Linked DNA regions of Anolis sagrei. The protein of the gene in region 1 purifies or fractionates together with the protein of each later gene. This does not show direct contact. Links are inferred from orthologs where the notes say so. Each region holds a gene or a part of one and is shown on either strand. Other genes may lie near its edges.

Evidence for each region. The genes of interacting proteins can lie anywhere in the genome.
Region 2: the proteins of STX6 (region 1) and VAMP3 purify together in Homo sapiens (affinity purification with mass spectrometry; 5 studies listed by BioGRID and IntAct, counting the BioPlex papers as one, with this or other methods). This does not show direct contact. The link is inferred for Anolis sagrei from reciprocal best matches to the Homo sapiens genes STX6 and VAMP3.

What each region holds. Positions count from the first base shown.
Region 1 is NC_090024.1:124,842,652-124,853,105, reverse strand, and holds the start of STX6 (syntaxin-6), read right to left. Parts: upstream 5,095-10,454; 5' UTR 4,919-5,094; coding exon 4,884-4,918; intron 1,582-4,883; coding exon 1,412-1,581; intron 486-1,411; coding exon 391-485; intron 1-390. UniProt on the Homo sapiens protein: SNARE promoting movement of transport vesicles to target membranes. Targets endosomes to the trans-Golgi network, and may therefore function in retrograde trafficking.
Region 2 is NC_090033.1:20,404,939-20,415,632, reverse strand, and holds the start of VAMP3 (vesicle-associated membrane protein 3), read right to left. Parts: upstream 4,464-10,694; 5' UTR 4,304-4,463; coding exon 4,302-4,303; intron 1-4,301. UniProt on the Homo sapiens protein: SNARE involved in vesicular transport from the late endosomes to the trans-Golgi network.

The sequences.
Region 1 (10,454 bases):
ACCTATTGATCTACTCACATTTGCATGTTTTCGAACTGCTAGGTTGGCAGAAGCTGGGGCTGACAGCAGAAGCTCACGCTGCTCCCCGGATTCGAACCTGCGACCTTTCGGTCAACAAGCTCAGCAGCTCAGCGGTTTAACCCACTGCGCCACTGGATCTTAGAATCATATAGGTGCTTTCGTATGATGGTATTGAAATTTATGGCACCTTAGAATCAAAGAAATACGATAATTTCTGTAAGCTATTTTTTCAGACTTATCCTCAGAAAAAATGTGTTTCACAATCATTATTCTTATTTTACTGTAGAGCTTTTGCATTCATACTTGGGAGAATTAGTGGTTGCTTTATCTTCTACAACATAATTTCCCCAAGAGACTCAAATGGCTTACCCTAACCACCTGCCGAGTGCTTGTGATGAAGGCTTTTCTTACACCCAGTTCCGTTGCATCGAGGTTGAACTTCCGAGGATTAGCTTCAACAATGCGTTGATAACAGCCAGTTAAGGAAATTGTCTGCTATACAGATTACCCTAATAAGCAGTAAGAAGGCCTTTTAAAAATAACACTGTCATTCCCTAATTGGTTCTATGATAAAAACATGGAATAGGTTTATTAAACTGCAAAAACTTTGTTTTTGCGGGACATCCTGCAGCACATTTTGCTATAGTTTTTCAGTGAATATGTCGTAGATTCTTAACCAATTCAATATAATTTGTGGCATCCACAAAAATGATGTTTCTGGAGTAGAGCAACTACTTTCAAAGTAAGGACCACACAATGAAACAGAAATTACCAGGAACATAACTTTTTTCAAATTTTGTTACATAGTGTAATTATTGTTAACAATAACAATTCATCAGATCATTTTTAGAATGTGCTTCAAAAGTATATGTAAAATGTCTACAATGCTTTGAAACAGAGGCTGGATGGCCATCTGTCGAGGGAGCTTTAATTGTGCTTTTCCTGAATGCCAGGGGGTTGGACTGGATGTCCTATGTGGTCTCTTCCAACTCTATGATTCTATGAGTGTGGCTATTTTATTTTCTGGGTTGTTTTTTTTTAATATACTTGAAACAGACAACTAATATTAAAAGTACTTGTACTTACTTCAATTTTTTTAAACAATTCTGAGGTTCTCAGCTGCCTTGGTATGCCATGGCTATTTAGTATATTTGCCTTTAATAACACTTTTTAAGGAACTATAGCACATGGAAGAGGAAATACAAATGGACTTGTACAGGATAACTTGAAGCATGAGAAGTAACTTTCTGGTATCAACAACATGTACAACATCAGCTATACTGAAACATATTTATTTATTGGATTAAATGACTGTCACAAAACCACCAGGTTTTCTGGATAAATACTACGTAGGTTCATTTAGTTATTGATCAGAGAACCTTAAGGATATTAATAGTTTCATCTAAGTCCTCAAGATCCCACTCAATGCTCCTTAGATTGTTCCTTAGCTCATTGGTGGTCCAGTCAATTTCTTCTCTTGTAGCTGTAGATGGATCTTGCAGGAGCTCCGTCCATCTCTGGAAGAGCCCCTGGGCAGTATTCACTGCCTTTTGAACTTCCCTGGAAATCAAGGAAAATAAATGAATTAAAGATCATTTAAACGTGACAGAACATCTCATTATCATTACTAAGGATGGCAACTTGCTATCTGTAAACACATTTAATACTATGTGGAAGGACCAAGGCAGAGACATCTCCAGCTCATCCCTTGTTTGGGCATCAGCCAGCACGTCAACAACTTAACTCAAGAAATAGTTTTCTAAGATCTACAGAGACACTTGCTGGAACACCTCAGCAAATGAGAGTCCAAAAGTGGCAGGCTCAAACCCAGAGCCTCAATCAATGGCTGATACCCAATGAGAGACTCCCCCCTGGGCACACAGAAAACTGGGCAACTTGGAAGGCGCTGAACAGACTGCACTCTGGCACCACGAGATGCAGAGCCAACCTTCAGAAATGGGGCTACAAAGTGGAATCCACAACATGCAAGTGTGGAGAAGAGGAAACCACAGACCAGCTGCTGCAATGCAACCTGAGCCCTGCTACATGCACAATGGATGACCTTCTTGCGGCAACACCAGAAGCACTCCAAGTGGCCAGTAGTCAAAGGACATTTAATCAACTACCAAGCTTGCAAATTCTGTGTCTTTTGTATGTTTGTTTGTTTGTTCTGTCAAAAATGTAATACAACTGTTCGGTTGCCCGACATGATAAATAAATAAATAACCATATGCTTATGTGCCTGCACTGAAATATCAACTATTTTAAGCTTGATCTTTCATACCATTTAGTATTGGGTAATTGAAATAAAATAGTAGATGTTGTCTATAGAGGGAATCCTTGTAGAGAGAAATCTATAGAGGGAATCCTTGTAGAGAGAAAATTTTGTTAATTTTGGCCCAGCTCTATAATCTGTTAAGGTCCTTTTGAATTCTGATTCTGTCCTCTGGTGCATTAGCTATCCCTCCTAATTTAGTTTCATCTGCCTATTACTGGGAAAACAAGCTGATTCCTAATCCATCTAAAACGCAGATGTGCTTTTCATCTTAAGAACAAGCCTCTCGAGCTCTGAGGATTATCTGGGAAGGAATCCCACTGGAGCATTCCAGCATACCAAAATACTGGACTGTGCTATGACTTACAAGCACTGCTTGATTATCTAGTGGGTACTAGAAATAATATTGTACAAAAGCCCACAGTGCTCTCTGGGTGTAGGTGAACTACAACTCCCAAACTCACAGTCAATGCCCACCAAACCCTTCTATTGTTTTCTGTTGGTGTTGGGGAGTCCTGTGTGCCAGGTTTAGTTCAATACCATCATTGGTGGAGTTCAGAATGCTCTTTGATTTGAAGTAAACTATAAATCCCAGCAACTACAACTCCCAAATGACAAAATCAATATTTTTTTTGATTGATGGTCACTCCTTGGGTGAGTAGGTGTCTTGTGGCCAAATTTGGCAGCAATTCATATAGTAGTTTTTGAGTTCTGTTAATCCCACAAATGAACATTACATTTTTATTTATCTTCTATATCTATAAAAATGCTCTGTGTATGAGTACCTTAAAAACAAAAGAACCAATGAACGAAATCGCACCAAATTTGGCAACAAAACATCTCACAACACAAGGAGTGACCACCACTCAAAAAATATGATTTTGTCATTTGGGAGTTGTAGTTGCTGGGATTTATAGTTCACCTACAATCAAAGAGCATTCTGAACTCCACTAACAATGGAATTGAACCAAACTTGGCATACAGAACTCCCATGACCAACAGAAAATACTGGAAGGGTATGGTGGGCATTGACCTTGAGTTTGGGAGCTGTAGTTCACCTACATCCAGAGAGCACTGTTGTTGTTGTTGTTCATTCGTTCAGTCATCTCCGACTCTTCGTGACCTCATGGACCAGCCCACGCCAGAGCTCCCTGTCGGCCGTCATCACCCCCAGCTCCTTCAAGGTCAGTCCAGTCACTTCAAGGATGCCATCCATCCATCTTGTCCTTGGTCAGCCCCTCTTCCTTTTGCCTTCCACTTTCCCCAGCATAATTGTCTTCTCTAGGCTTTGCTGTCTCCTCATGATGTGGCCAAAGTACTTCAACTTTGTCTCTAGTATCCTTCCCTCCAGTGAGCAGCTGGGCTTTATTTCCTGGAGGATGGACTGATTGGATCTTCTCGCACTGTGGACTCAAACAATGATGGATCTGGACCAAACTTGGCACAAGCACTCAATATGCCCAAATATGAACACAGATGGTGTTTGGGGGAAATAGACCTTGACATTTGGGATTTGTAGTCACTGGGATTCACAGTTCACCTACAACCAGAGAGCATGCTGAACCTCACCAATGACAGAATTGGGGCAAACTTCCCACACAGAACCCCCATAATTAAGGCCATGTGGTCCAGCTCCCTTCACCAGGACAAGAAAACATAATCAAAGCCCTCCTGACAAAGACCCATCCAGCCATAGATACAGATAGATAGATATGATTCACACACACATTTATTTATTTATTTACGACATTTATATGCCGCCCTTCTCACCCCGAAGGGGACTCAGAGCGGTTTACAAGGTATATATACATACAATATACTATTAACATAGTACAATATCAGTTTTAAAAATATTGCTATATTGCACTATATCAATTATACCGTAATATTATTAGTAATATTACATTTAATGTAAATATATAATTATAATATCATATTATTATTATTAGTAGTAGTATATTGCATTACATTACAATATTATAAATATTATATGTATACACAATATATTATATATTATATTATAACATATTATTAGAATAGCACAGGAGACAAGGTGGAACTGTCCCCTGCCCCCCCCCCTTTCTTCACTCCGGCCCAGAGTGGCAGTTGGTGCTGGGGGGAGGGGTCCCCAACTGATGGCAAATGCAGGAGACAAGATGGTGCTGTCCCCTGGTATCATAGATTTGAAAGGGACCCTTAAAGAAAGACAATGATATCTTGCATGTTCCAGGGTGGGCAAACCAGACACTCTCCACATCAACACTGACAAACTAACAGTAAGAAATACTCCTTACCCACAAGCACAAAGAAATTACATATATTAGAAACCAACACTTTCTCGTTACTTTATTTTCCAGATCACCAGACTGGGCCACAGCAACGCGTGGCAGGCGACAGCTAGTATAGATATAAATACAAATAGATATAGGTATTGACATACACATATACATAGGGGGAAAAACCCCGAACCTTTCCTCTAATGAACTTGTCTAAAAGGAAAACAATGGAACTGTTTGGACCAGGTGGAGTCCACCTCCCTCGCAGCTTCCGCTCAGCCAGAGCCAGGCCTCAGCCCCGGCCTACTCACCCTTTCACCACGAAGAAGGGGTCCTCCATGGACATGGCTTGGAGCCCCGCTTTCCCTCAGAACTGCTCCCTCTCCTCCTCCTCCCTTCAGCTGCCCGACGACCCCTTCCTCCCTTCCCCTCCCGTCCCTTCTCTTCCTTTCTCCCTCAGCTGCTGCTTCCAACCCCCTCGGCCATGAGCGCCCCTTTCACGTGACCCTGGGCGCCGCCTATTGGACCAGAAAGCCTGAAGCATTTCCTTGTCACGTGACAGGGGCGCCGGGGATAGCCCCGCCCTCAAACGGTTGTCATAGCATTGTCGAAGGCTTTCATGGCTGGAATCACTAGGTTCTTGTGGGTTTTTTCGGGCTATATGGCCATGTTCTAGAGGCATTCTCTCCTGACGTTTCGCCTGCATCTATGGCAAGCATCCTCAGAGGTAGTGAGGTCTGTTGGAAATAGGAAAAAGGGTTTATATATCTGTGGAATGACCAAGGTGGGGCAAGGAGCTCTCTGCTGAAGATAGGTATGAATGTTTCAGCTGACCACCTTAGAATCATAGAATCATAGAATCAAAGAATGGAAGAGACCTCATGGGCCATCCAGTCCAACCCCATTCTGTCAAGAAGCAGGAATATTGCATTCAAATCACCCCTGACAGATGGCTATCCAGCCTCTGTTTAAAAGCTTCCAAATAAGCAGCCTCCACCACACTCCGGGGCAGAGAGTTCCACTGCTGAACAGCTCTCACAGTCAGGAAGTTCTTCCTCATGTTCAGATGGAATCTCCTCTCTTGTAGTTTGAAGCCATTGTTTCGCGTCCTAGTCTCCAGGGAAGCAGAAAACAAGCTTGCTCCCTCCTCCCTGTGGCTTCCTCTCACATATTTATACATGGCTATCATATCCCCTCTCAGCCTTCTCTTCTTCAGGCTAAACATGCCCAGCTCCTTAAGCCACTCCTCATAGGGCTTGTTCTCCGGACCTTTTATCATTTTAGTCGCTCTCCTCTGGACACATTCCAGCTTGTCAATATCTCTCTTGAATTGTGGTGCCCAGAACTGGACACAATATTCCAGATATGGTCTAACCAAGGCAGAATGGAGTGATAGTATTACTTCCCTGGACCTAGACACTATGCTCCTATTGATGCAGGCCAAAATCCCATTGGCTTTTTTTGCCGCCACATCACATTGTTGGCTCATGTTTAACTTGTTGTCCATGAGGACTCCAAGATCTTTTTCACACGTACTGCTCTCGAGCCAGGCACTGTCCCCCATTCTGTATCTTTGCATTTCGTTTTTCCTGCCAAAGTGGAGTATCTTGCATTTGTCACTGTTGAACTTCATTTTGTTAGTTTTGGCCCATCTCTCTAATCTGTCAAGATTGTTTTGAATCCTGCTCCTGTCCTCTGGAGTATTGGCTATCCCGCCCAATTTGGTGTCATCTGCAAACTTGATGATCATGCCTTCTAGCCCTTCATCTAAGTCATTAATAAAGATGTTGATGTCCTTTGACCAGTAGCTGGCCACTTGGAGTGCTTCTGGTGTTGCCGAAAGAAGGTCCTCCATTGTGCATGTGGCAGTGCTCAGGTTGCATTGCAGGAAGTGGTCAGTGGTTTGCTCCTCTCCACACGTCTCCACTTGGTAGCCCCATTTCTTAAGATTGGCTCTGCATCTCGTGGTGCGAGAGCGCAGTCTGTTCAGTGCCTTCCAAGTCGCCCAGTTTTCTGTGTGCCCAGGAAGGAGTCTCTCATCTGGTATCAGCCATTGGTTGAGGTGCTGGGTTTGAGCCTGCCACTTTTGGACTCTCGCTTGCTGAGGTGTTCCAGCGAGTGTCTCTGTAGATCTTAGAAAACTATTTCTAGATTTAAGTCGCTGACGTGCTGGCTGATACCCAAACAGGGGATGAGCTGGAGATGTCTCTGCCTTGGTCCTTTCACTATTGGCTGCTACTTCCCGGCGGATGTCAGGTGGTGCAATACCGGCTAAACAGTGTAATTTTTCCAGTGGTGTAGGGTGCAGACACCCCGTGATAATGCGGCATGTCTCATTAAGAGCCACATCCACTGTTCTAGTGTGGTGAGATGTGTTCTACACTGAGCATGCATACTCAGCAGCAGAGTAGCACAGCGCAAGGGCAGATGTCTTCACTGTATCTGGTTGTGATCCCCAGGTTGTGCCAGTCAGCTTTTGTATGATATTGTTTCTAGCACCCACTTTTTGCTTGATGTTCAGGCAGTGCTTCTTGTAGGTCAGAGAACGGTCCAGAGTGACTCCCAGGACCATTCTCTGACCTACAAGAAGCACTGCCTGAATATCAAGTTCCAAGACCCTGTGGAGATAAAAATCTATGGATATTCCAGTCTCATGGATAATTTGATAAGAAAGCTAAATGAAGGAAAACATGTGATGGGGATAGGAAAATCATTAATTTCCAAAAGGGGTGTTGCAAAGCTTAAAGGCAAAACAACTATTCCCTTATCTTTAATTATTGCGTGGTCTGAAGTCCTAAATTTCTTCTCTAGAATTGAGGTCTACTTTTTTTCTCATGTTGTTGTTGTTCATTCGTTCAGTCGCTTCCAACTCTTCATGACCTCATGGACCAGCCCACCCCCAGCTCCTTCAAGGTCGAGCCAGTCACTTCAAGGATCCCATCCATCCAGCTTGCCCCTCTTCCTTTTTCCTGCAATTTTCCTCATTTTTCCTGCCATTTCCTGTCTTCTCATGATGTGGCCAAAATACTTCATCTTTGCCTCTACTATCCATCCCTCCAATGAGCAGTCGGGCATCATTTCCTGGAGTATGGGCTGGTTGGATCTTCTGGTGGTCCAAGGCACTCTCAGAACTTTCCTCCAACACCACAGTTCAAAAGCATCTATCTTCCTTCGCTCAGACTTCCCTATGGTCCAGCTCTCACATCCGTAGGTGACTACGGGGAATACCATGGCTTTGACTATGCAGATCTTCATACCAATGTGATGTCTCTACTCTTCACTATTTTATCGAGGTTGGTCCTCCCAAGAAGTAAGTGTCTTTTGATTTCCTGGCTGCAGTCTGCATCTGCAGTAATCTTTGCACCTAGAAATACAAAGTCTGTCATTGCCTCCACGTTTTCTCCCTCTATTTGCCAGTTATCAATCAGTCCGGCTGCCATAATCCTGTTTTTTTTATGTTTAGCTGCAACCCAGCTTTTGCACTTTCTTCTTTCACCTTGATTAGCAGGCTCCTCAGCTCCTCCTCGCTTTCGGCCATCAAAGTGGTATCATCTGCATATCTAAGGTTTATTTATTTATTTATTTCGCATATTTCTACCCCGCCCTTCTCAACCCCCGAGGGGGGACTCAGGGTGGCTTACAAAAGGCACAATTCGATGCCAATAAAACAGACAATAAGATAAAACATGTATCAACAACAATTATAAAACAATTAAAACAATCCACTTATACATCACAATCAATAAAAAACCAATCTAATGATCAACGTTCACCAAGCTCAGAATCCATAAGTTCATTCCACATTGTCAAATCCTATCAATTCTACTCATCATTGTCCTTTGTCTATCTGCCAGATTACCCAAAGGCCTGGTCCCATATCCATGTTTTTAGTTGCCTTCTAAAAGAGAGGAGGGATGTCGATGACCTAATTTCCCCAGGAAGCCAATTCCACAGGCGAGGGGCCACCACCGAGAAGGCCCTGCTCCTCGTCCCCACCAATCTAACTTGTGATAGAGGTGGGGCCGAGAGCAGGGCCTCCCCAGAAGATCTTAAACTCCGAGGTGGGACGTAGAAGGAGATGTGTTCGGACGGGTACACTGGGTCGGAGCCGTATAGGGTTTTGTAGGTCAGAACCAGCACTTTGAATTGCGCTCGGAACTGGATTGGCAGCCAGTGGAGCTGACATAACAGAGGGGTGATATGTTCCCTGTATGATGCTCCAGTGAGCAATCTGGCCGCCCCCCGCTGGACTAACTGAAGTTTCCGAACAGTCTTCAAAGGCAACCCCACGTAGAGTGCGTTGCAGTAATCTATTCGGGATGTAACAAGAGCGTGGACCAATGTGCCAGATCTGACTTCCCAAGGTACGGGCGCAACTGGCGCACAAGTTTTAATTGTGCAAAAGCTCTCCCGGCCACCGCTGAGACCTGGAGTTCCAGACTCAGCGATGAGTCCAGGATCACTCCCAAGCTGCGAACCTGCTTGTTTCTTCCAGCAATTTCTACCCCAGCCTTGCATTCATCAAGCCCCGCACATCGCATGATGTGTTCTGCATACAAGTTGAATAGGTTGGATAGCACTTACAAATGACTAAATACAGATTGATGTCCTTTCCCATCCAAGGCTCCTGTATTGCTGATCACAGTCAGCCACACTTCCACTACTTTTGTGAGTAAAACCTAGAAATAGCCCCGTATTGCCTCTTCCTGCTCCCCCTCTTTGTCGAGACACCAAGATTGCTGGCTCCTTGTTTGATTTGGCATGGGATCTTCTGTCATCCCAGCCTCCTTTGTTCACTCTTTGCCTGCCCTCTTTGCTTTCATTGTGAACTGGAGTGGCACTCCCAAGGCTTGGCCCAGGGTCCGGTCCCTCAGGTGTTTCATTGTCTCAAAGCCCTTGATTCTTGGCAGCGGAATGTGTTATTAAGGCCCTGCTTTTCAATACAAGAGGTGAGTGGAGCGAGGGGGGAAGAAGGGACACACACCCTCCCTCTCTTCATTTGAAGACAAAAATATAAATTGGCACCACGCAGAATATTTCAAAGGCAGTCTCCCATGGATGAGATTCTGCTCATTATTGTGACATGCTCTCAAGGGAGGCAGAGAATTGTGAAAATGCTCACCAGGTATTCAATCGCCAGAGAAACAGACTCGGCAACCTTTTCTGTCTCCTCTGATTTTATTCTTTAAAAGTTATTTCCATTGCAGAGGGCTTGTTAAAGAAGGACCTTTGTTGTCAGCCTTTTGCAGAGGGGATTCTTTAATTCGCACGGACACTCTGCAGTCCCAAACTGGCTTCCACAATCAAACACGAGCCAGCAAAAGTGCTTGTTAGGATACCATTGTTGCGGTGTTTTCTGCGTTGTGATGACTTCTAGCAGCCTAATCAAGCCCATTGCGCACAGGTTTTTGCTCAGAGCCGCAGGGCAGTGTCTTCTTTTTGCAGGCTTGCTGCAGGCTGTGAAGATTTCAATGGCCTTAGATGGGGGAAAGTCCAAGCACAAAAATGAGCATTTCAAATTGACTACATATTGCTTTTTAATAGTATCTTCCATGTTCTAATTTTAATTTATATAAGATTCAAACAGCCTTAATAATAATAATCATCATCATCTATATAAATAAAAATGTAATGTTCATTTGTGGGATTAACAGAACTCAAAAATCACTGGGAGAATTGACACCAAATTTGGACAGCATACACCTAACAACCTAATGTATGTCCTTCACTCATAAAAACACTGAAAAACACAGCAGAAGGGACTTTAAAAGCCCCAAAAAGCTGAATGACGAAAAGCTAAATGACAATACAGAAAAAAGGGAAGAAAGAGGGAGGGAAGGAGAGAAAAAAAGGGGGGGGGGAAGAAAGAAGGAAAGGGAGAA
Region 2 (10,694 bases), on another chromosome or scaffold:
CACCTTGACTAGCATTTGATGGCCTCACAGTTGTTTGGTGTGGCTTGTTGGTGCCTGGGGCAATCTTTTGTTGAGAGGTGATTAGCTGTCCCTCATTATTTTCTCTCTGCTTTTTTCCTGTTGTAATTTTAGAGTTTTTGTAATACTGGCAGCCAGATTGTGTTCATTTTCATGGTTTCCTCCTTTCTGTTGAAATTGTCCACCTGCTTCTTGTGGATGTCAATGGCTTCTCTGTGTAGCCTGACATGGTGGTTGTGAGAGCGGTCCAGCATTTCTGTGTTCTCCAATAATCTGCTGTGTCCAGGTTGGTTCATGAGGTGCTCTGCTATGGCTGACTTCTCTGGTTGACGTAGTCTGCAGTGCCTTCCATGTTCCTTGATCCGTGTTTGGGCAATGCTGCTGCCTTTGGTGGTCTCTATGGAGACTTGTCTACACCTCTAATGGAGTCTACTGTATGCCATGCAGCTGTGGACAACTCTACAGAGGGATGACCAAACACAGCATTCTCCAGGGAGGAGTCAAGGAAGATGAAAGGCACGGTAGACTACTTCAGCCACAGCAGAGCACCTGAGGAACCAACCTGGGCACAGAATACTATCTGAGAACACAGAAATGCTGGACCACTCTCACAACTACCATGTCAAGCGACACAGAAGCCGTTGAAACTACAAGAAGCCAAGGAGGAAACCATGAAAATGAACAAAACCTGGCTATTAAAAAGCTCTAAAATCAGGACAGTAAATAAAGAAGAACACTAAAAAACCAGGGGAATTCCAAGCAGGAAACAATCACAGCTAGCTTACACCTCCAAACAAAGGATTCCCCCCAGGCAGTAACCACCCAGGCTTTGAAGCTACAAGGCTATTCAATGCTAATTAAGCTGTTGCTTTCATACTCGTCGCAAGCAAACATGAGTTCTTTTTCCCACCCTGGGCATTATTCCACAGATATATTAACCCCGCTTGCCTATTTTTCAACAGGCCTCACAACCTCTGAGGATGCCCGCCATAGATGTGGGCGAAACGTCAGGAGAGAATGCTTGAACGTGGCCAGACAGCCTGGCAAACTCACAGCAACCCAATTATTATTATTTTATTTCTTACCTGCCTCTCCTCTTGTACAATTATTATTATTATTATTATTATTATTATTATTATTATTATTATTATTATCGTCGTTACTACTACTACTACTATTATCATTGGGTTGTTGTAGGTTTTTTCGGGCTATATGGAACTAGGAAAAAGGGTTTATATATATCTCTGGAATGACCAGGGTGGGACAAAGGACTCTTGTCTGCTGTGTAAGAAAAGCCATTGAAATCCACGAGAAGCATGTGGACAATTTCAACAAAAGGAGGAAACCATGAAAATGAACAAAATCTGGCTGCCAGTATTAAAAAAAAACTCTAAAATTACAACAGCAACACAACAGAGAGGAAACAATCAGGCACATCTAATCACCTCTCAACAAAAGATTGCTCCAGGCACTGTCAGACCATTATATGCTAATCAAGGTGGTCAGTTGAAACATTCACACCCAGCTCCAGCAGACAAGAGTCCTTTGTCCCACCCTGGTCATTCCTAGTTCCAACAGACCTCACTACCTCTCAGGATGCTTGCCATAGATGCAGGCGAAACGTCAGGAGAGAATGCCTCTAGACCATGGCCATATAGCCCGAGAAAACCTACAACAACCCAGTGATTCCGGCCATGAAAGCCTTCGACAATACTACTATCATTATGTGTTATAATACTATATAGTACTAATAGTAGTAGTACAAGAGGAGTATTGTATTATTATTATTATTATTAGTATTAATAATAATAATAATAATAATACAAGAGGAGAGGTGATTAAGAAATAAACTAATAATAACAATAATAATAATAATAATAGGGTTGCTGTGAGTTTTCTGGGCTGTCTGGCCATGTTCCAGAAGCATTCTCTCCTGACGTTTTGCCTACATCTATGGCAGGTATCCTCAGAGGTTGTGAGGCCTGTTGGAAACTAGGCAATAATAATAATAATAATAATAATAATAATAATAATAATAAGGTTGCTGTGAGTTTTCTGGGCTGTCTGGCCATGTTCCAGAAGCATTCTCTCCTGACGTTTTGCCTACATCTATGGCAGGTATCCTCAGAGGTTGTGAGGCCTGTTGGAAACTAGGCAATAATAATAATAATAATAATAATAATAATAATAATAATAATAAGGTTGCTGTGAGTTTTCTGGGCTGTCTGGCCATGTTCCAGAAGCATTCTCTCCTGACGTTTTGCCTACATCTATGGCAGGTATCCTCAGAGGTTGTGAGGCCTGTTGGAAACTAGGCAATAATAATAATAATAATAATAATAATAATACAAGAGGAGAGGCGGGTAGGAAATAAAAGTATTATTATTAATAATAAATAATAAATAAAATAAGAAAATAAATTTTAATAATAATAATAATAATAATAATACAAGAGGAGAGGCGGGTAAGAAATAAAATAAGACAAGAGGTTGGTAAGAAATAAAATTATATTATTATCATTATTTGTTATAATATATAGTAATAATAGTAGTACAAGAGGAGAGGCGAGTCAGAATTAAAATAATAATAATAATAATAATAATAATAATACAAGAGGAGAGACAGGTAGGAAATAAAATATTATTATTAATAATAAATAAAATAAGAAAATAAAATTTAATAATAGTAATAATAACACAAGAGGAGAGGCAGGTAAGAAATAAAAATATTATTATTAATAATAATAATAAATAAATAAATAAATTTTAATAATAATAATAATACAAGAGAAGAGGCGGGTAAGAAATAAAAATATTATTAATAATAAATAATAAATAAAATAAGGAAATAAATTTTAATAATAATAATAATAATAATAATAATAATAATACAAGACGAAAGGCAGGTAAGAAATAAAAATATTATTAATAATAAATAATAAATAATAAATAAAATAAGGAAATAAATTTTAATAATAATAATAATACAAGAGGAGAGGTGGGTAAGAAATAAAAATATTATTATTATTAATAAATAATAAATAAAATAAGAAAATAAAATTTTAATAATAATAATAATAGAAGAGGAGAGATGGGTAAGAAATAAAAATATTATTATTAATTAATAATAAATAAAATAATAAAATAAAATTTAATAATAATAATAATAATACAAGAGGAGAGGCAGGTAAGAAATAAAAGTATTATTATTAATAATAAATAATAAAATAAAGAAATAAATTTTAATAATAATAATAATAATAATACAAGAGGCAGGTAAGAAATAAAAATATTATTATTAATAAATAAAATAAGAAAATAAATTTTAATAATAATAATAATAATAATAGAAGAGGAGAGGTGGGTAAGAAATAAAATTATTATTATTATTATTATTATTATTATTATTATTAGGGTTTGGGCAGCTTAAAAAATGTTTCCCATGTTTTGATAATAGAACCAAGGAGGAAATAAGGACAATATTATTATTATTATTATTATTATTATTATTATTATTAATACAAGAGGAGAGGTGGGTATAATAAATATTATTATAATACTATGTAACACGATTTTTTTTTTGTTGCCGGGTTATAAATGTCCTTATTTGGTTCTATTATCAAAACTTGGGAAAAGTTTGTTAAGCTGCCCAAACTTTTCACATCTTCCAGCTCGTTTTGCTCAGGTTGTTTCACCCTCATTGAGTTCCCAACCTTTGTGGCAACCACCAAACACAAAGTTGCCGGAGTAGGAAGTGCCGCACAACGACACAGGAAGCAACACTTTCAAAGCAGAAACATTTTGCACGTTTTGTTGCATAGTGTCCCATTGCACGCCTCTCGCTTGAGAGTGGGAAGAGTAAGCAAGGAGTGTGCCTCCCATTGTGGTTGGAGTATTTCCAAGGCCTCTTGCCTCCACTCCCAAGTTGGTCTTCTTGTTGTGGGCTCACTCTCAGAGGCGCAAAGACATAAGAGACATGCACAAGAAGTGGAAAAAGGGAGAAATCAACAAAGAAGATTTCTCCAACTCTTTGATTCTATAATTTATTTATTTATTTATTTACTAGCAACGCGTTGCTTTGCTTTCACCCCTGGCTTTGCAGAGACCCCTGGGTTGCCTTGTGGGGGGGATTCCCCCCCCCCCCAGGCAGAGCTTGTGGTGTGTCTCAAGGCGCTGCTGGGCCCAGCCCCAGAGAACCAGGAAGGAAGGCTGAAAACGAAAGTGTTGTGGCCTGGTATTGTGGGGGGAGGAAACAGGGAAGGAGGAGGGAAAGGGGTCACTCACATGATAGCAGAGGAAGAGGAGGGGGACAATCCAAGCTCTTCTCCAAGGGTCTCTTAGCTGCTCCGGTTGCTCTTGCTGCTGCTTCTCCCACTTTGGCACTGGCCCCTCCTCCAGGAAGGAAGGAAGGGAGCCCAACCCAAGGCCAGGGAAAGGGCCCCCAGAGGCAGGCAGAGAGAGAAAGAGGTGGAGACACTGGAGCAACAGCTGGGCAGAGTTTCATGGAGTGCTTTCCTTCCTGGCCGCCCTTGGATTGCCTTCAGCTGGGAGAGGCGCAGCACCGCCCTGCCTTGGGATTGCCTTTGGCCTGGGAAGGGCTCGTATTCCTCCCAGACAGAGAATCCCAGAGTTGGAAGACACCCTGGGGGCCATCTCTCCCCATAGAGACCCCAAACGCAGCAGCATTGCCCAGGGACGAATCAAAGAATATGAAAGGCACTGTAGACTAACTGATGAACCAACCTGGTCATGGGTAGATGGGAATTTCTCAAGAGTGAAATACTCAAGACGCAATTGCAAACTGTGCCAAAAAAGAGAAAAATAGAACAAGTGCAAAGAAGCCAGAATGGATGTTCAAAGAACTTCTAACTGTGCTAAAACACAAAAGAGACATGCACAAGAAGTGGAAAAAGGGAGAAATCACCAAAGAAGATTTCTCCAACTCTTTGATTGCATACACTTTGCCAGCTGCGCCACAATCCCAGCCTTCTCTCCATAGAGACCCCCAACGCAGCAGCATTGCCCAGGGACGAATCAAAGAATATGAAAGGCACTCTAGACTAACTCAGCCCTAGCAGAGCACCTGATGAACTAACCTGGTCACCGATGGGATGGGAATTCCTCATTGCAAACTGTGCCAACAAAGAGGAAAAATAGGACAAGTGCAAAAAGAAGCCAGAACGGATGTCCAAAGAACTAACTGTGCTAAGACACAAAAGAGACATGCACAAGAAGTGGAAAAAGGGAGAAATCACCAAAGAAGATTTCTCCAATTCTTTGATTCTATGATTTATTTCATAGAATCATAGAATCAAAGAGTTGGAAGAGACCTCATGGGCCATCCAGTCCAACCCCATTGTGCCAAGAAGCAGGAATATTGTGTTCAAATCACCCCTGACAGATGGCCATCCAGCCTATGTTTCAAAGCTTCCAAAGAAGGAGCCTCCACCACACTCCGGGGCAGAGAGTGCCACTGCTGAACGGCTCTCACAGTCAGGAAGTTCTTCCTCATGTTCAGATGGAATCTCCTTTCTTGTAGTTTGAAGCCATTGTTTCGCGTCCTAGTCTCCAGGGAAGCAGAAAACAAGTTTGCTCCCTCCTCCCTGTGGCTTCCTCTCACATATTTAGCCTCCCCACACTTTAAGGTGGTACCTAATTTTCCTACTTGACAGATGCAACTGTCTTTCGGGTTGCAAAGGTCGACAACAGGCTACACAATTGATTGGAAACCCACTCCAACCCGGGCTGGCTTCGAACTCATGACCTTTTGGTCAGAGTGATCTTAATGCATCTGACACTCAGCCAGCTGCGCCACACTCCCGGGCTTCTCTCAATAGAGACCCCCAACGCAGCAGCATTGCCCAGGCATGAATCAAAGAATATGAAAGGCCCTGTAGACTAGCTCAACTGGAGAAGTCAGCCACAGCAGAGCACCTGATGAACCAACCTGGTCACGGATGGGATGGGAATTTCTCAAGAGTGAAATACTCAAGGCGCAATTGCAAACTGTGCCAACAAAGAGGAAAAATAGGACAAGTGCAAAAAGAAGCCAGAATGGATGTCCAAAGAACTTCTAACTGTGCTACGACTCAAAAGAGACATGCACAAGAAGTGGGAAAAGGGAGAAATCATCAAAGAAGATTTGAATGCAATATTCCTGCTTCTTGGCAGAATGGGGTTGGACTGGATGGCCCATGAGGTCTCTTCCAACTCTTTGATTCTATGATTCTGTAAGATTTCTACAACTCTTTGATTCTATGATTTATTTATTTATTTATTTATTACTAGCCGTCCCCTGCCACGCGTTGCTGTGGGGGTTCTGTGTGGGAAGTTTGATAGGGTTCAGAATGCTCTGTGATTGTAGGTGAACTATAAATCCCAGCAACTACAACTCCTAAATGTCAAGATTCTATTTTCCCCAAACTCCACCAGTGTTCACATATGGGCATATTGAGTATTCGTGTAGAGTTTGGTCCAGATCCATCATTGTTGGAGTCTACAGTGATCTCTGGATGTCGGTGAACTACAACTCCAAAACCAAAGGACACTACCCACCAAACCCTTCCAGTATATTTCTGTTGGTCATGGGAGAACTGTGTGCCAAGTTTGGTTCAATTCCAACGTCAGTGGGGTTCAAAACGCTCTTTGATTGTAGGTGAACTATACATCCCAGCAACTACAACTCCCAAAGGGCAAAATCATAATGTTTTGAGTGATGGTCACTCCTTGTGTTGTGAGACGTTTTGTTGCCAAATTTGGTGTGATTTCGTTCATTGGTTCTTTTGTTTTTAAGGGACTCATGATGCACAGAGCATTTATATATATAGATAGATATAAATCCATTCACATGATAACTCTCCTGCTGAATCTGCATGCCCAGTGTGGACCACATCTCACCACGCTCAAACAGTGGATGTGGCTCTTAATGAGACATGCCGCATTATCACGGGGTGTCTGCGCCCTACACCACTGGAGACATTACACTGCTTAGCCGGTATTGCACCACCTGACATCCGCCGGGAAGGAGCAGCCAATAGTGAAAGGACCAAGGCAGAGACACCTCCAGCCCATCCCCTGTTTGGGTATCAGCCAGCACGTCAACGACTTAAATCAAGAAATAGTTTCCTAAGACCTACAGAGACACTCGTTGGAACACCCCAGCAAGCGAGAGTCCAAAAGTGGCAGGCTCAAACCCAGAAATCGCATTCAAAGCACCCCTGAGAGATGGATTCTTACCTTTTGAAACCACTTCAGCTCACACTGCCGTGGAAGGCCGGCTCCTCCGAATCCATTCAAATGCCTCCTTGTGGTCACTTTTTAAACCCTTTCCCCCCTAATATTGCGCCGTGACGAAGCCTGGAAGTTATTGCAAGATTGTAGCTGATGGGATGCATCCCGGTTGTCAGGCCACACATCAAAACAGCGCCTCCGCAGGATATACAGTCGTAGTCAATCAAAAAACCACAATTGTCCCCCTCTTTTTCTGCGTTTCTTTCCCTTTTCCCCCTTTTCTTCCCACGTTTCTTTCCCTCTTTCTGCACTTCTTTCCCCCCTTTTCCGAGTTTTTCCTTTCTTCCCACATTTATTTCCCTTTCTTTCCACGTTTCTTTCCCCCTCTTTCAGTTTTTCTTTCCTTTTCTTTCCATGTTTCTTTTCCTCTCTTCCTTCATCTTTCCCTCTTTCTGCATTTCTTTCCCCCTCTTCCAGTGTTTCTCTCCTTTCTTTCCGTGTTTCTTTTCCCCTCTTCCCACATTTCTTTCCCTCTCTTTATGTGTTTCTTTCCCCCTTTCCCGCATTTCTTTCCCTTTCTTTTCATGTTTCTTTCCTTCTCTTCCCGTTTCTTTCCGCATTTCTTCCCCTCATTCTGCATTTCTTTCCCTCTCGTTCAGTTTTTCCTGCTTTCTGCGTCTTTCCCTCTTTCTGCATTTTCCCCTTTCTGCATTTCTTTCCCTTTCCCCCATGTTTCTTTCCCTCTCGTTCCACGTTTCCTTCCCACACTTCCAGCGTCTTTCCCTTTCCATGTTTCTTTACCTCTCTTCCCGTGTTTCTCTCCCACTTTTTCTGCATTTCTTTTCCTTTCTTCCTGCGTTTTCCCCTTTCTTCCTGTGTTTTTCCCTCTCTTCCCGTGTTTCTCTCCCACTCTTTCCGCTTCCCCCCCTTTCTTCCTGCGTTTCCCCTCTCTTCCCGTGTTTCTCTCCCACTCTTTCCGCATTTCCTTCCCTTTCTTCCTGCGTTTTCCCTCTCTTCCCATGTTTCTTTTCCTCTCTTCCTACGTTTTTCCCTTTCTTCCCGTATTTCTTTCCCTCTCTTCTCGTGTTTCTCTCCCACTTTTTTCTGCATTTCTTTCCCTTTCTTCCTGCGTTTTTCCCTCTCTTCCCGTGTTTCTCTCCCACTCTTTCCACATTTCTTTTCCTTTCTTCCTGCGTTTTCCCTCTCTTCTCATGTTTCTTTTCCTCTCTTCCTGCGTTTTTCCCTTTCTTCCCGTATTTCTTTCCCTCTCTTCTCGTGTTTCTCTCCCACTCTTTCCGCATTTCTTTCCTTCTCTTCCTGCATTTTTCCCTCTCTTCACGTGTTTCTCTCCCACTCTTTCCGCATTTCTTTTCCTTTCTTCCTGCATTTTTCCCTTTCTTCCCATGTTCCTTTCCCTCTCTTCCCGTGTTTCTCTCCCACTTTTCCTCCATTTCTTTCCCTTTCTTCCTGCATTTTTCCCTCTCTTCCCGTGTTTCTCTCCCACTCTTTTCGCATCTCTTTCCCTTTCTTCCTGCATTTTCCCCTCTTCCCATGTTTCTCTCCCACTTTTCCGCATTTCTTTCCCTTTCTTCCTGTGTTTTTCCCTTTCTTCCCGTGTTTCTTACCCTCTCTTCCCGTGTTTCTCTCCCACTTTTCCTTCATTTCTTTCCCTTTCTTCCTGTGTTTTTCCCTCTTCCCGTGTTTCTCTCCTACCTTTTCCGCATTTCTTTCCCTTTCTTCCTGCATTTCTCCCTTTCTTCCTGTGTTTCTCTCCCACTCTTTCCGCATCCTTTCCCTTTCTTCCTGTGTTTTTCCCTTTCTTCCCGTGTTTCTTAGCCTCTCTTCCCGTGTTTCTCTCCCACTTTTCCTCCATTTCTTTCCCTTTCTTCCTGTGTTTTTCCCTCTTCCCGTGTTTCTCTCCTACCTTTTCCGCATTTCTTTCCCTTTCTTCCTGCATTTTTCCCTCTCTTCCCGTGTTTCTTTCCCACTCTTTCCGCATTTCTTTCCCTTTCTTCCTTCGTTTCTCCCTTTCTTCCTGTGTTTCTCCCCCACTTTTTCTGCATTTCTTTCCCTTTCTTCCTGCGTTTTTCCCTTTCTTCCTGCGTTTTTCCCGTTCTTCCTGTGTTTCTTTCCCTCTCTTCTCGTGTTTCTCTCCCACTTTTTCTGCATTTCTTTCCCTTTCTTCCTGTGTTTTCTCTTCTTCTCGTGTTTCTCTCTCACACTTTCTGCATTTCTTTCCTTTTCTTCCTGCGTTTTTTCCCTCTCTTCCCGTTTTTCTCTCCCACTTTTTCCACATTTCTTTCCCTTTCTTCCTGTCTTTTCCCCGTTCTTCCTGTGTTTCTTTCCCTCTCTTCCCATGTTTCTCTCCCACTCTTTCTGCATTTCCCCCCCTTTCTTCCTGTGTTTTTCCCTCTCTTCCCGTGTTTTTCTCCCACTTTTTCCGCATTTCTTTTCCTTTTTTCCTGTGTTTCTCTCCCACTTTTTCCGCATTTCTTTCCCTTTCTTCCTGCGTTTTTCCCTTTCTTCCCGCATTTTTCCCTTTCTTCCCGTGTTTCTTTCTCTTTCTTCCCGCGTTTCTTTCCCTTTCTTCCCGTGTTTCTTTCCCTCTCTTCCCGTGTTTCTCTCCCACTTTTTCTGCATTTCTTTCCCTTTCTTCCTGCGTTTTTTCGTCTCTTCCCATTTTTCTCTCCCACTTTTTCCGCATTTCTTTCCCTTTCTTCCTGCGTTTTTCCCTTTCTTCCCGTGTTTCTTTCCATCTCTTCCCGTGTTTCTCTCCCACTTTTTCCGCATTTCTTTCCCTTTCTTCCTGCGTTTTTCCCTTTCTTCCCGTGTTTCTTTCCATCTCTTCCCGTGTTTCTCTCCCACTTTTTCCGCATTTCTTTCCCTTTCTTCCTGTCTTTTTCCAGTTCTTCCTGTGTTTCTTTCCCTCTCTTCCCATGTTTCTCTCCCACTCTTTCTGCATTTCCCCCCCTTTCTTCCTGTGTTTTTCCCTCTCTTCCCGTGTTTTTCTCCCACTTTTTCCGCATTTCTTTTCCTTTTTTCCTGTGTTTCTCTCCCACTTTTTCCGCATTTCTTTCCCTTTCTTCCTGCGTTTTTCCCTTTCTTCCCGCATTTTTCCCTTTCTTCCCATGTTTCTTTCTCTTTCTTCCCGCGTTTCTTTCCCTCTCTTCCCGTGTTTCTCTCCCACTTTTTTCGCATTTCTTTCCCTTTCTTCCTGCGTTTTCCCCTCTCTTCCTGTGTTTCTCTCCCACTTTTTTCGCATTTCTTTCCCTTTCTTCCTGTGTTTTTCCCTCTCTTCCCGTGTTTTTCTCCCACTTTTTCCGCATTTCTTTTCCTTTTTTCCTGTGTTTCTCTCCCACTTTTTCCGCATCTTTCCCTTTCTTCCTGCGTTTTTCCCTTTCTTCCCGCATTTTTCCCTTTCTTCCCGTGTTTCTTTCTCTTTCTTCC